2 linked regions of the Saccharomyces cerevisiae S288C genome follow. The protein of the gene in region 1 interacts with the protein of each later gene in a pairwise test. Each region holds a gene or a part of one and is shown on either strand. Other genes may lie near its edges.

Region 1 (8,294 bases):
TGTAGAAAAATTTAGTTATTTTTTAGGATGTTCATAAATATATCTATATATGCCATTTTTAACATTATAAATTACGAACATACGTGAATGAGGTGATATGACTGGTAAAGAAGAAAAAAGGATAATAACAAACCAAACAAGATAACCTGTGCATTCTATTTTATAATTGGTAGCAGTTCTAAAGCAAAAAACTGAAAAAGTGCTTTAGTATGATGAGGCTTTCCTATCATGGAAATGTTGATCCATTAAGACGAACTATAAACGGCGTCAACTTTATCTTTGACAGCATTCAAAATGTCTTTTCTTTTCAATTTCTGAGCGGACGTAACAAAACCGTTTTGTGGAGTCCATTCGCCGTCAAAGAACACTATGCCTGCTAGTAATTCAATGCCAACCAAACCTTGGTCTTTACCTGTCTTCAAAAGATCAGAATAAACAGCTTTAATCAATTTTGCATCCTCCAAATAATTTTCGATATTAATTGAACTGTCTTTTTGTTCCATAATTCCCAACTTTTTAGCAAGCTTCGTTAATGGAGCATGATTTGGTACAATAATACCAACTGGCTTAGTCTTAGATTGGTCGGCATAAACACAAATGTTAGCAACATATTCGTTAGATCTGTAAACGGACTCTAATTTCTCGAGTGCGATATATTCACCGTTCATTGTTTTGACCAAGTTTTTCTTCCTGTCAATTATTTTCAAATGGCCATTTGCTTCCCATTCACCGATGTCACCGGTCTTGAACCAACCATCGCTTGTTAAAGCTTGAGAAGTTTCTTCCTCATTCTTATAATATTCAGGCGTGACATTGGCACCTGTGATCCAAACTTCACCTTGGTTGTTTTTAGCAAAATAACCTAATTCTTCAACATCAACTAGTTTGACGGTAACACAACCTGTTAGGTCACCAGCGACGCCGAGTTCAAAATTAGCAGGATCCAAGATGGTGGTACTAGCGCATGTCTCGGTTAAACCGTAACCAATAAGCATAGGGCAGATTAAATTTGTGATGAATTCCTGAGCATCCCGACTGATTGGAGAACCACCGTTTAACAAATATCTTAATTGGCCACCTGTGGCAGTTCTGATTTTTTTGAAAACCAAGTTTCCTAAGGCGCCGCCACCAGGGATGTGGAGACGTTGCATGTTCAACTTGGTATTATACGCGGTCCAGAAGATTTTCTTGGTGAGGAAGGGCAAATTATCAATTTGGTTTAAGATCCCTTTTCTCACTGTTTCCCAAACAGCGGCGACACCAACCATGATTGTGGGCTTGAATTCTTGCAAATCACCTTGACAATTTCTCACAGAGCTGCTAGTTAAAGTTTTTACGGTGGCATAACCAATGCAGGCCCCCCAATAAAAGGACAATAGTTCGAAAACCAATTCAAAAATATGAGCTAGTGGCAAAAAACAGATAACACGGTCGGTATTGCCCACAAACTTCAAAACATTCAAACTTGCACCACCAACACCTGCGACAACATTTGAATGTTTCAAGACAACACCCTTTGGCTCACCTGTAGAACCAGACGTATACATGATGCAACAAAGATCATCCTTGCCAGGTGGATGAACATCGATTTCGTTACAGGATTCTTTACCTAGCTTCAAGATGTCGTCAAAGCTAAAGGTCTTGATATCAGGTCTAACTTCTTTAATTCTGTTGATGGCATCATGAGCAGATTGATAGATCTTACCACTTTGCCTCCTGTCCTCAGAACTGATGGAATCGAAATGAATTATGTATTTTACGTCTTGAGCGGCTTGCACTGGTTTGATCAAGGATGGTAATAAAGAGTTATCGGTAAAAATGGCCTTAGACCCCGTTTGCACCAAAGAATGAATTAGCCCTTTCTCTCCCAAAGTATCGTAGGCAGTGACGACAGGAATACCTTGAGACTGCGCTCCTAAGAACATCTTCATCCACTTGTGAGAAGTGGCTGCGTAAAGATGTAATTTGTCATCATCATTAGGCTTTAATCCTATTTTCACCAACCCACGACCAATTTCATGCATGATATCGGTCAATTGGTCAAATGAATTATAATGATAATGCGATAGTTCATAATACATCCATTTCTTTTCCACTGAAGTCTCCTTGCCATCAACTTTTTTCATAACCGATTTGGATTCTTCATGAATTTCCTTAACATCCCTCCAACCCATAGCATTTGAATTTTTGTTCTTCTGAAAGCACTCTAGAACAAACTCATAAACAGTGGAACACTTTGTGTTAGGCGGTCTGACGAGCGGCTTCTCGCGGCATTGATAATTTCTTCTTGGAGCAGTTTCATGCTCATTGGCGGCTTTCCCAACTGGAACGGTATATTGAGCAACCATATTGTTGTCTTTTTTTGTCTTTTGTGTTTGTTCTAGTTTTTATTGTATCCTAACGAGTTTTTTAACAACAAGAACTTTCTATACTTACTAAATATACTACAATTGTCTCACGACAAGTGAGGGGTAAAAGGAAAAAAAGAGAGAAAAATAAGCGGTTAAAGCCTTTTACTTAAAGACAGCGAAGGAGATCTCCAAACATTTTTGTTGTAATATCGATAATACGATATCCGCGAAAGGAACCAAAAAAAGCAAAAAAAAAAAAAAAACGCGCGAGAACAGCCTATCTCTGCTGTCCCGTATGCACAGGGAAGTTCTCCTGATATGCGATGGGTGGGTGCCCCTGTGTCATTCGTATTATATGATGTATTCGTGCCTGTATCATGCATAAATATTCACATGGCGGAGATCATGTTCCTGACAGGGCGTGATCGACTTTACTATTGTCCTTGTCATTCCCTTATGGAAGAATATGACAGGGCTGCATCATCCATATTCTAAGTAATTCTCTTTGCCGCGCTAAGCATGGCTTCATCGCTTGTTAGAAGGCGCATTTGTTATAAAGTTCAGCCGGCTCTATCGGTCCGCTAGCTAGGTCTGTTTACTTTCCGCAGCGTAAGCAGCTGGCAAAGTGGATCGGTCTTACATCTACAACGCAGTGACGTTTCTGATACTTTGGTGACGTATTCTTTTCTCACCGCTACGTTTTCTTCGCCCGCTCCGTGCGGACCGAAAAAAGACCCTCTCCCCTTATAAATTTTGTCAGTATTATAGCAATTGCCTGCGGACTTTCACCGCGCTTAGATCAAGAGGGCATCATGAGGCTACCTACAATTGACATACTAAGTCAAGAAAAATAATAGTGTATCGAATACGCGTGGTAGCTACATTAAATACTAAAGTATGGTTTTTTTTTTTAAGTAGGTTTACTCTTCATATTCTTCATTTTCATTTTTCCTTTTCTTCCCGTTCTTCATTTTTATTCCTAGAAAAAAAAATAAATATGTCTATCGTTAACCTAAACATAAACAAAGTTTAGCCCGCTTATTTAAATGATGCCCAGTACTTTTTTTCAAAACTCATATAATTATATATATCAAGAATGCTTTCCAACCACCGCTTGTATTAAGGTGTAGAAAGGTGGTTTTTGTATTCAAAAAGAGTACAAGCCCATTATAGCTAACTTAACAGTCCACCCTACTATATCCCACGCATATCTGGTTTTAACTTGTGGCGGGCGATATGGAACGAATTTTTCAAAGTTAACCATAGAAAAAAGCATGTGATCAAGGCAGAGTGAACGAGGGAAAAAGAAAGTGTGGAGAAGGCCACCTTTTGAAAAGTTTACCAATCGATCGGTCTCTCAGCACTTTCTACATTTAATCTCTTTATAGTGAACATCGCTGGCTCATGCTGGTTCCCATGCATAACTCACCCACGGCCGCCAACGGCCGCTTATCACTTACTGTCGCCAGCTCCGGTCTTAGAAAGGGTAAAAAAAACCGGGTGTATACTATACACTCATACATCCGCTCACCCGTTTCCAGTAGTGAATTTTCATTTTCTGTACGAAGGCAATATAAGCTGACGATCCGCATAAAGCAGAAGACTCATTTGTAATGCAGAATATCCGTACAATAAAGGAATTTATTGGTCTTATATATTCTACGTGGGAGCTCGAAAAGCATTTCTGGTTCTATTTAGTAACCAATTATTTTCACTTTGCTCAGAATAGTTCTGCATAGCTATAGAAAGAAAGTTAACACAAAGTACGGAAAGATTGAGTAAATATGAAACTCGGAAGCAAACAGGTAAAAATTATATCCTTGTTGCTGCTAGACACAGTGTTCTTCGGGATCGAGATAACTACCGGGTACTTGTCTCACTCTTTGGCTCTAATCGCGGACTCATTCCATATGCTAAACGATATAATTTCTCTTGTGGTTGCACTTTGGGCCGTAAATGTTGCCAAAAACAGAAATCCGGATTCAACGTACACTTATGGTTGGAAAAGGGCGGAGATTTTGGGTGCTCTGATTAACGCCGTCTTTTTGATTGCCTTATGTGTCTCAATTTTGATAGAAGCGCTACAAAGAATTATTGCTCCCCCCGTGATTGAAAATCCTAAGTTTGTGTTGTATGTGGGTGTCGCAGGGTTGATATCGAACACCGTTGGACTTTTCTTATTTCACGACAATGATCAAGAGCATGGACATGGACACGGACATTCCCATGGCGGTATCTTTGCCGACCATGAGATGCATATGCCATCATCCCACACACATACACATGCCCATGTTGATGGAATAGAGAATACTACACCAATGGATAGTACGGATAACATTAGTGAGATTATGCCTAATGCTATAGTAGATAGTTTTATGAACGAAAATACTAGATTATTGACACCGGAAAATGCATCCAAGACGCCATCATACTCAACGTCAAGCCATACGATTGCCAGCGGCGGAAATTACACAGAACACAACAAGCGCAAGAGATCTTTAAATATGCATGGTGTGTTTCTTCACGTTTTGGGCGATGCTCTTGGCAACATCGGCGTTATGTTGTCTGCATTTTTCATTTGGAAGACCGACTATTCTTGGAAGTATTATACAGATCCGCTTGTCTCATTGATAATTACCGGTATAATTTTTTCCTCTGCGCTTCCTCTATCGTGCAAGGCTTCCAAAATATTGTTACAAGCGACACCTTCCACTTTATCCGGCGATCAAGTAGAAGGTGATCTTTTGAAAATACCAGGAATAATAGCTATTCATGATTTCCATATTTGGAATTTAACAGAGTCTATTTTTATTGCATCTTTGCATATTCAACTAGATATCAGCCCGGAACAATTTACTGACCTGGCCAAAATAGTTAGATCAAAACTTCACCGCTATGGCATTCACTCCGCTACTTTGCAACCTGAATTTATTACCAGAGAGGTTACTTCAACCGAAAGAGCCGGAGACTCCCAAGGTGATCATCTACAAAATGACCCGCTTTCATTAAGGCCAAAGACATATGGTACTGGCATTTCAGGTTCCACTTGTCTTATCGACGACGCTGCCAACTGCAACACAGCTGATTGCTTAGAGGATCATTAAAAGGACTTTATAACGAAAAAGCGTGAAGAATTAAATACTTTTAAAAATCGTTATACGGTACATATACATACACACACACACATATATATAGTCGTCTATAATGTTTTTATACAATGTTTATCATAAATTTTGTTACAGTAAGAAGTATAGGAGATAATATAAAAAAAGAGGAAAAGCGAAAACAGGTGATAATAATGATGATCATAATAATAATATAATAGCAATAGTCTTGCAAAACAACAACTTGAGGAAGGAAAATAGTAATAATGGTGTTTAGCTTTTTTTAGATTACTCCAGCTTCTAAAAAAGAGTACAATACTTAGCACAATAATGCTGTTATCTTTTTTCATTTAATTAAAAAGACCAGTTGTTAAGAAATAATAAAAAAAAACTCCTTTGTTTAGAATTCAACAAATTAGAAGAAAAAGAACCTAGTTATTGTTCTAAAACCTTTGCCCACTGAACTTTTTTGTAGTCCTTCGTACTCTGTAGTTCATTACATTGCGTCAGCTCATCGCGCCTTCCTGACTGAAATTCGTAACCTCTTATTACTGCCGCGTCGGGAAGGTCGTCTTCATTGTCTTCTTCATTATCTTCATCTTCGCCAAAATTACTAGCTTGCCCATATATTTGGTCTTTAAGCTTCTTGTATTTCTCCTTAATTGAAGAGTTTACTGGAATTGTGAGCTTCTCCCAAATACTAGAAATTGCTGGTAATTTGTTTTCTTCATTGCTCAAAGTAGAATTTATTTCGGTGGCAAAGATGGTAGCGTCATTTAATGAGCCTCGCGACGAACTGACTATGAGATTCAGAGATTTGGCTGGTACTGTTAGAATTGATTTTTTGGGCTTCAATAGACGGTGAGAGGGTTCGTACCTTGTTGGCTTGAAGGTCGATCTGTTTACTGGAGATAACCTTTTTTTGAGTTTAGGCAATAAAAGTGGCACATCACTGTTGGATTCCAGTGGGCTCATCGGAAACGAAGAATGAATCATTCGGTGGAGCTCCAGTGCTTCTTTATTAACAAGCGGCTTACAGTTCCAGACAAAAGAATCAACGCCAAAAGGATCTAAAGAATCAATCTTTTCAACATCAGGCGATGTCGAGTTTATCGAAGATATATCACTCAATGGACTAACTAATTCATGTTCTGAAAAGCAGTCGTTATCAAAACTCAATCCAGGACTGACAATATTCCGGTAATCATTATATCCTTCGGTCATAAATGGATTGGTGATTTCACCTTGATTTTTTTTTATTGATACGCTAAGAGTTTGGGCTTTGACATTCTTTGAACTTGTCTTAAATTTGGCTTGGTATAAACGAAACCGTTTGGAGGGCGTAGTGTCTTCTGCTATAAAGCCTGATGAATATTTACATTTTTTACTTGGTGTACTGGGTATTACAAGCCCAATTTTTTTTTTTGATTTCGGTGTTCGCAACAAAAGTGTGTCTGAAGAATGCATTTCATCCATGTTTTTGAAATTTTTTTTTTCTTAATTTTATATTTCTCTTGTTTAACTAATCAAACATATTTACAGAACAACTTATCACCTAAACGCGCCTAAGTTCCAAATATAGCTGAAGTGTGGAAGGCACAAAGAAATGTTGCGTTTAAATAATACTTCGCTTGATTTTCCTCGTAGAGTGACAAAATTGATCCATTTTAAATTAACAAGAATGTTACCGCTTTAAAACTAAACTGTAAACAGTATCGAATGACATTTACGGTAACGGGCTTAAAATTCAAGATTTTCCTATCGAAATGGGCATGCATCTGTCGTTTACCTAAGCAAGGCTATGTATCGTTACACAACGTATTTAGTGTGTTGTGAGCTCTCTTGTTTACCAATTTGCACTAAGAGATATTCGCAGCTGAAAAAAAAAAGTTTAAACCCGATTAGAATAGCCATGGGATTTTCCATGCATTACTGCTGTCTATAACGGCGTGACCAGTTTAGCATAAATCCTTTGTCCGTAGTTTCTTTGAATCGTTCTGTCATACTGTTTTGTTTTTAAGACTGAGGCTGTCAAACTTTAATCTCAAAATCGGCCTGAAATCTTGAAAAAGCGGGATTGTTTTCTTTTTTTTTTTGCATATTCCCGTGGTTCGCATTTCCAAAAAGGGATTTGGTGCCTAGATATTTCCTTGTCTTCCCCTTTCGGATATTTACAAAACTCGAATATGTTATTTACTTTTATCCTAATTGGGCGATGTATGGATTGGACGAAAGTAGAAAGGTATAACTTGCCCAAAGGGTGGGCTAGCTGAGAGTTTTATGTGTCGAATTACGATCTCAAAAAACAGAGTAACGCAAAAAACCCCTACCCAAGAAAATGCTTCTGAATCTTAAAAGGACACGTCTTTTAAGAAGAGCTCGCAGTAGAGTAAGTTGTTATCTAAACTAATTACTGCCGTGGAATCGCCTTACTTTAAGGCCTGCGTAGTAACTCAATGCATTCTCTTGATGTTTATCCCCCAAGCTTGTTGCTATGCAACTATTTGTCCTTATAATATGTAGTATAGTAAAACTCTCGTAGTTACTTTCTTGGACATCACTGCTGTCCTGAGATAACATTATATGCTCTATTCCCATTGGTGGGACGATAACTGATTTTATTCATTCCAACCAAAAGATTGTACCGATATGCCATGACAACGAAATCTTGGAATACTTCGAAAAGAAAACACTTTTTTGTTGTCTTTCTGGGTGGGAACTAACGTTTCCATTATTTTTTTAACTGACATTGAAAAGGCAAAGCAACTGTCCTAGATTTTTTTGTTCTACTTAAAAGAGCCAAGGAGACCTAAAAAAGATAGTTATGAATATCCTCAGT
Region 2 (4,641 bases), on another chromosome or scaffold:
TTTCAATAGGAGCTATAGGATCTTTTTCAGCGCCAAATATTATAATTTTCTGTTTCATATCCGTTTGCGTCAATACACCATTGAATTTAACCCAATCAACAGTTTCCCATCCTAGTAAATAACCTATGATGGTTCTACTTTTGTTGCTTATGTTGTTTTTAAATTGCCAGAACTTCCTGTATTTCAACTTGACATCATCACCTTGTTGATAAAAATACTGCTTGATGCCGGAACTTTGTAGACCTTTTACCTGATCGAATTTGTTTCTATAAACGTCAAATAGCCATGGCAATTTAAACACACCATAGAGAGCCCACTGGATAATATGTTTATCCTTAGAAAGCTGCTCGATATGTGCTTTGGGGGGCGTCAACAAAACTAGCGTTTGTACCGCTTTTGTATCAGCCATGTGCTGCTCGTAAAGATGACATGCCAGAAAACAACCCATAGAATGCCCTACAAGCACTATCTTATGACCGTTAAATGGATTTACGTTATCATTATTCGGCACCGCTGTAGACCATTTTCTTAAGACGTCACATACAAGAACGAAAATAAGTTCCACCACTTTCAGCATGGGGTAGTCGCTCCATTCTGAACTATGACCAAAGCCGGGCAGATCTAACGTCAAAAATGCCTTTTGATCAGAGTCCACAAGCTCGAGTAAGGGTTCAAATTGTTCTAAGTTGCCAGCCAACCCAGGCACGAAGACGAAAACAGTATCACCCCGTATCCCTTTATCGCTCAAGTTGTGACACGTCCTTATTCTTGAATTTCGATCCGATAGTTGTACATTAAAAAACTCCTCATGTTCTGCGATAAACTTCAACCTAAAGTCCAAATCTACCTCTGGTTTGCGAATGTAAGCTACCAAATCAGCTGCATTTTCTGCATTTTGAACAATCTCTTCTAGCGTCTTTCCAGAAAGGGGCTCACAGGACCAACTTTTTGTTGCTTCTGCACGTTCTGCCATATTCATTACCAAGAGAAAAAGTTCTCGGTTTAAGGCTTTCTTCTAACGTTGAGTTACGATCCAAATGCGACTGTACCATCTTGGTAGTTCTTTATTAATGAACCCTTTAAAATTGCCGGGTTAAAAGAATGGCGCGTCCTCTTGAAACTTTTCGAAGAAAACAACGTAACTGATGGTTAAAATTTGCATAAAGAAGGTCAGGCCTCGTCTGCGGACAACAACACTATCAATATCCAGCGTGCAATTATGTCTGTGCACCACAAAAAGAAGCTAATGCCCAAATCGGCATTGCTGATTAGAAAATACCAAAAGGGAATCAGATCATCATTCATTGGGCTCATCATAGTGTTATCCTTTTTATTTTTCATGAGTGGCTCAAGGTCCCCAGAGGTACCAATAGCTCAGGGCACCAGTGTCAGTCGTGTAGCCAGTAAGGATTATTTGATGCCGTTTACTGACAAGTCACAAGGAGTAATCCATCCCGTGGACGATGGAAAGAAGGAAAAGGGTGTTATGGTCACATTGGCCAGGAATTCAGATTTATGGAACTTGGTAAAATCTATTAGACATGTTGAAGACAGGTTCAATAACAGATATCACTACGATTGGGTGTTCTTGAATGACCAACCATTTAGTGATGAGTTTAAACGTGTTACCAGTGCATTGGTTTCAGGCAAGGCAAAATATGGGACAATCCCAAAGGACCATTGGTCCATTCCATCTTGGATCGATACTGAAAAATTCGATGAGAAAAGGCTTGCAATGGGAAAATTGGATATTCCATATGGTAGTTCCGTGCCTTACCGTCACATGTGCCGTTTCCAGTCAGGGTTCATATGGAGACACCCACTACTGGAGGAGTACGAATGGTTTTGGAGAGTGGATACCGATATCACTTTATTCTGTGATATTCAGTATGACATATTCAAGTTTTTAAAAGTAAATAACAAGAAATATGGATTCATTCTTTCGGTAAGTGAATATGAGCGCACAATCCCAACCTTGTGGGAAACGACAAAGAAATTCATCAAGAAAAATCCTAAATTCTTACACAAAAATAACCTCATGAAATTCATTTCGAATGATGATGGTGACACTTATAATATGTGTCATTTCTGGACCAACTTCGAAATCGGCTCTTTAGACTTCTTCAGGTCCGATGCATACAGAGAATACTTTGATTACTTAGACAGTTCTGGTGGATTCTTCTACGAAAGATGGGGGGATGCGCCAGTGCACTCCATCGCTGCCTCTTTGTTCTTGGACAAGTCAGAAATCCATTTCTTTGACGGTCTTGGATTCCATCATCCAGATTTCACCTCTTGTCCTATCGAACAGAAGATTAGACTACAAAACAAGTGTATCTGCGAACCTAGCAAGGACGTCACCTGGACTCCTGACTACTTCTGTACTAGAAAGTACTTTTCAGCAGGAAATTACAAGCTTCCACCAGGAATTTAAAAACCAAACTACAAATAGCGCCTGCTCCGTCAAAACAGGTGCTAAAACGTCAACATGTATCTATCTATATACACATAATTCAATGTAGTAGCCACCTCACTTTATTCTAGTGCCTTCTTGGGTTCAAAAATGGGTGCGGTGCGGCCGGAGATGAAGAGAGAAAAGCAAAATTGTATCTAAACCAGCCTACAAAAACACAAACTTGATATTATAAAGAATCAAGCATCTTACTGAACTTTTGTCCTCTACAGAAAAGCGAAAAAACTCTAAGAATAGAGAACTAGAGTGGTGTTCATATTTCTAGTCACCATGGCGTTTGAGGATTATTTTTCTTTCCAGATATTCTTCATTTTCTTAAGGGAATCCTTAGAAATTGTTGTCATTGTTTCTATCCTGTTGACGATCGTCAAACAAGGTCTGTCTGTTGAGGACGACAGCCCGTTTGAAGGAAGTTCCTCTTCTGCTGGTCTTCCAAGTCCAAATACGAACACAAACGCAGATTCGACCACTGCCTTCTTACAAGCAGGGCCTTCAGACGGTAATGCTATTGGAACGTCCGCTACGGCTGCTAATAATAAATCGAGGCCGCTAAATGTGGAGGAAGAAGAAGAAATTTACGAGTACTCTAATGAGCTTAGAGACCAGGACCGCGAGTCCGATGAACATACGGCTGACAACGTTAAGCTATATCAGAAATTAAAAATACAAATTCTAGCGGGCGGCGCATTTGGTTTGTTGCTGTGTATGTTAATCGGGGGTGCGTTTGTTAGTATCTTTTATCATATTGGAACCGACTTATGGACACTGAGTGAACATTATTATGAAGGTGTCTTAAGTCTTGTCGCGTCCGTTATTATTTCTGTCATGGGGTTGTTTTTTTTAAGAATGGGGAAGTTAAGAGAGAAGTTCAGAGTGAAATTAGCTTCTATCATTTATTCAAAGGACAATAATTTGCTGGGAAACAAAACCCAAAAAGGTGTGAAATTCAGTGAAAAGTACTCCTTCTTCATATTACCATTTATAACGACTTTGAGAGAAGGGTTAGAAGCTGTTGTATTCATTGGAGGTATCGGTATTGACCAACCACTATCCTCGATTCCCCTCTCTATGGTCCTTGCTACTGCAATCAGTACGGTGTTCGGTATTTTTTTCTTCAGGTACTCAAGTTCTCTTTCACTTAAGATATGCCTTGTAGTCGCCACCTGCTTCCTCTACTTGATCGCGGCTGGTTTGTTTTCCAAAGGTGTATGGCAACTTGAATTGCAAGACTACGTCAACAAATGTAACGGTCAAGACATGAGTGAAGTAGGAAATGGACCCGGTTCGTACGACATATCTCGTTCTGTTTGGCATGTTAATTGTTGCAATGGTGAAAAAGATGGAGGTTGGATGATTTTTACTGCCATTTTTGGTTGGACGAATAGTGCTACCGTCGGCTCTGTAATTAGCTACAACGCCTACTGGTTGGTATTAATATGCGCTTTGAAACTGCTAATGATAGAAGAAAAATACGGATATATCCCATATCTACCTATTAGCTGGCAAAAGAAACGTATTATGAAAAGATTAAGCATTGCCAAGGCATCGCTCGATCTCAAACATCATACTTCTGAACTCAACTCTAGCACATCAGAGCCAGACAGTCAAAGACGGTCCAAAGATAGTTCTGTGCCCCTAATAATTGATAGCAGTGGTTCAGCAAATTGAGAACATAACAAACACACGTAATAATTTTAAGCTTCTTTTCATACATTTTACAGTAAATACTATGTACATATATATTCGTCATTAAAAATAGCTAGAAAAAGGCATGCTATAAAGACTAAATGAGTGCTCCTTTGATTTTAGATGCCAACAAAAGGTAATTCATGCCAATGTCTCTATGACGGCCACTATGTCACCAGAATCAACCATATCACCATTGCCATGGCAAATCTTGATAATCTTACCCGATTTAGGAGCGGATATAATCATTTCCGCTTTCATGGCTTCAATAATTAGTAGCCCTTGACCTGCTTCAATAACATCTCCAACAGATGCTATGGATTTCCAAAAACGCCCAGAATACTCAGAATATACAATTTCTGCACCTTCTGGGAAGTCTTCTTCCTCGTCAGGTTTGACTGTGACACTTTCTTTTAGTTCAGAGTTTGCATTTTGAATCAATTTGGCAAATTCCTCTGCTCTTTCACCAAGCTGGCCCTCCT

Evidence for each region. The genes of interacting proteins can lie anywhere in the genome.
Region 2: the proteins of COT1 (region 1) and FTH1 interact in binary tests that used the Saccharomyces cerevisiae proteins (3 or more experiments, as listed by UniProt).

Annotation. Positions count from the first base shown.
Region 1 is NC_001147.6:903,397-911,690, reverse strand, and holds COT1 (metal cation transporter COT1), read left to right. Parts: upstream 1-4,135; coding exon 4,136-5,455; downstream 5,456-8,294. Other genes in the region: long-chain fatty acid-CoA ligase FAA1, read right to left, coding at 246-2,348; YOR316C-A (uncharacterized protein), read left to right, coding at 3,756-3,965; SFG1 (Sfg1p), read right to left, coding at 5,891-6,931. UniProt on the Saccharomyces cerevisiae protein: Vacuolar transporter that regulates zinc homeostasis by mediating zinc transport and storage into the vacuole. Plays a role in resistance to zinc shock resulting from sudden influx of zinc into cytoplasm.
Region 2 is NC_001134.8:632,403-637,043, forward strand, and holds FTH1 (Fth1p), read left to right. Parts: upstream 1-2,743; coding exon 2,744-4,141; downstream 4,142-4,641. Other genes in the region: LDH1 (triacylglycerol lipase), read right to left, coding at 1-979; mannosyltransferase KTR3, read left to right, coding at 1,220-2,434; DUR12 (bifunctional urea carboxylase/allophanate hydrolase), read right to left, coding at 4,301-4,641. UniProt on the Saccharomyces cerevisiae protein: High affinity iron transporter probably involved in transport of intravacuolar stores of iron.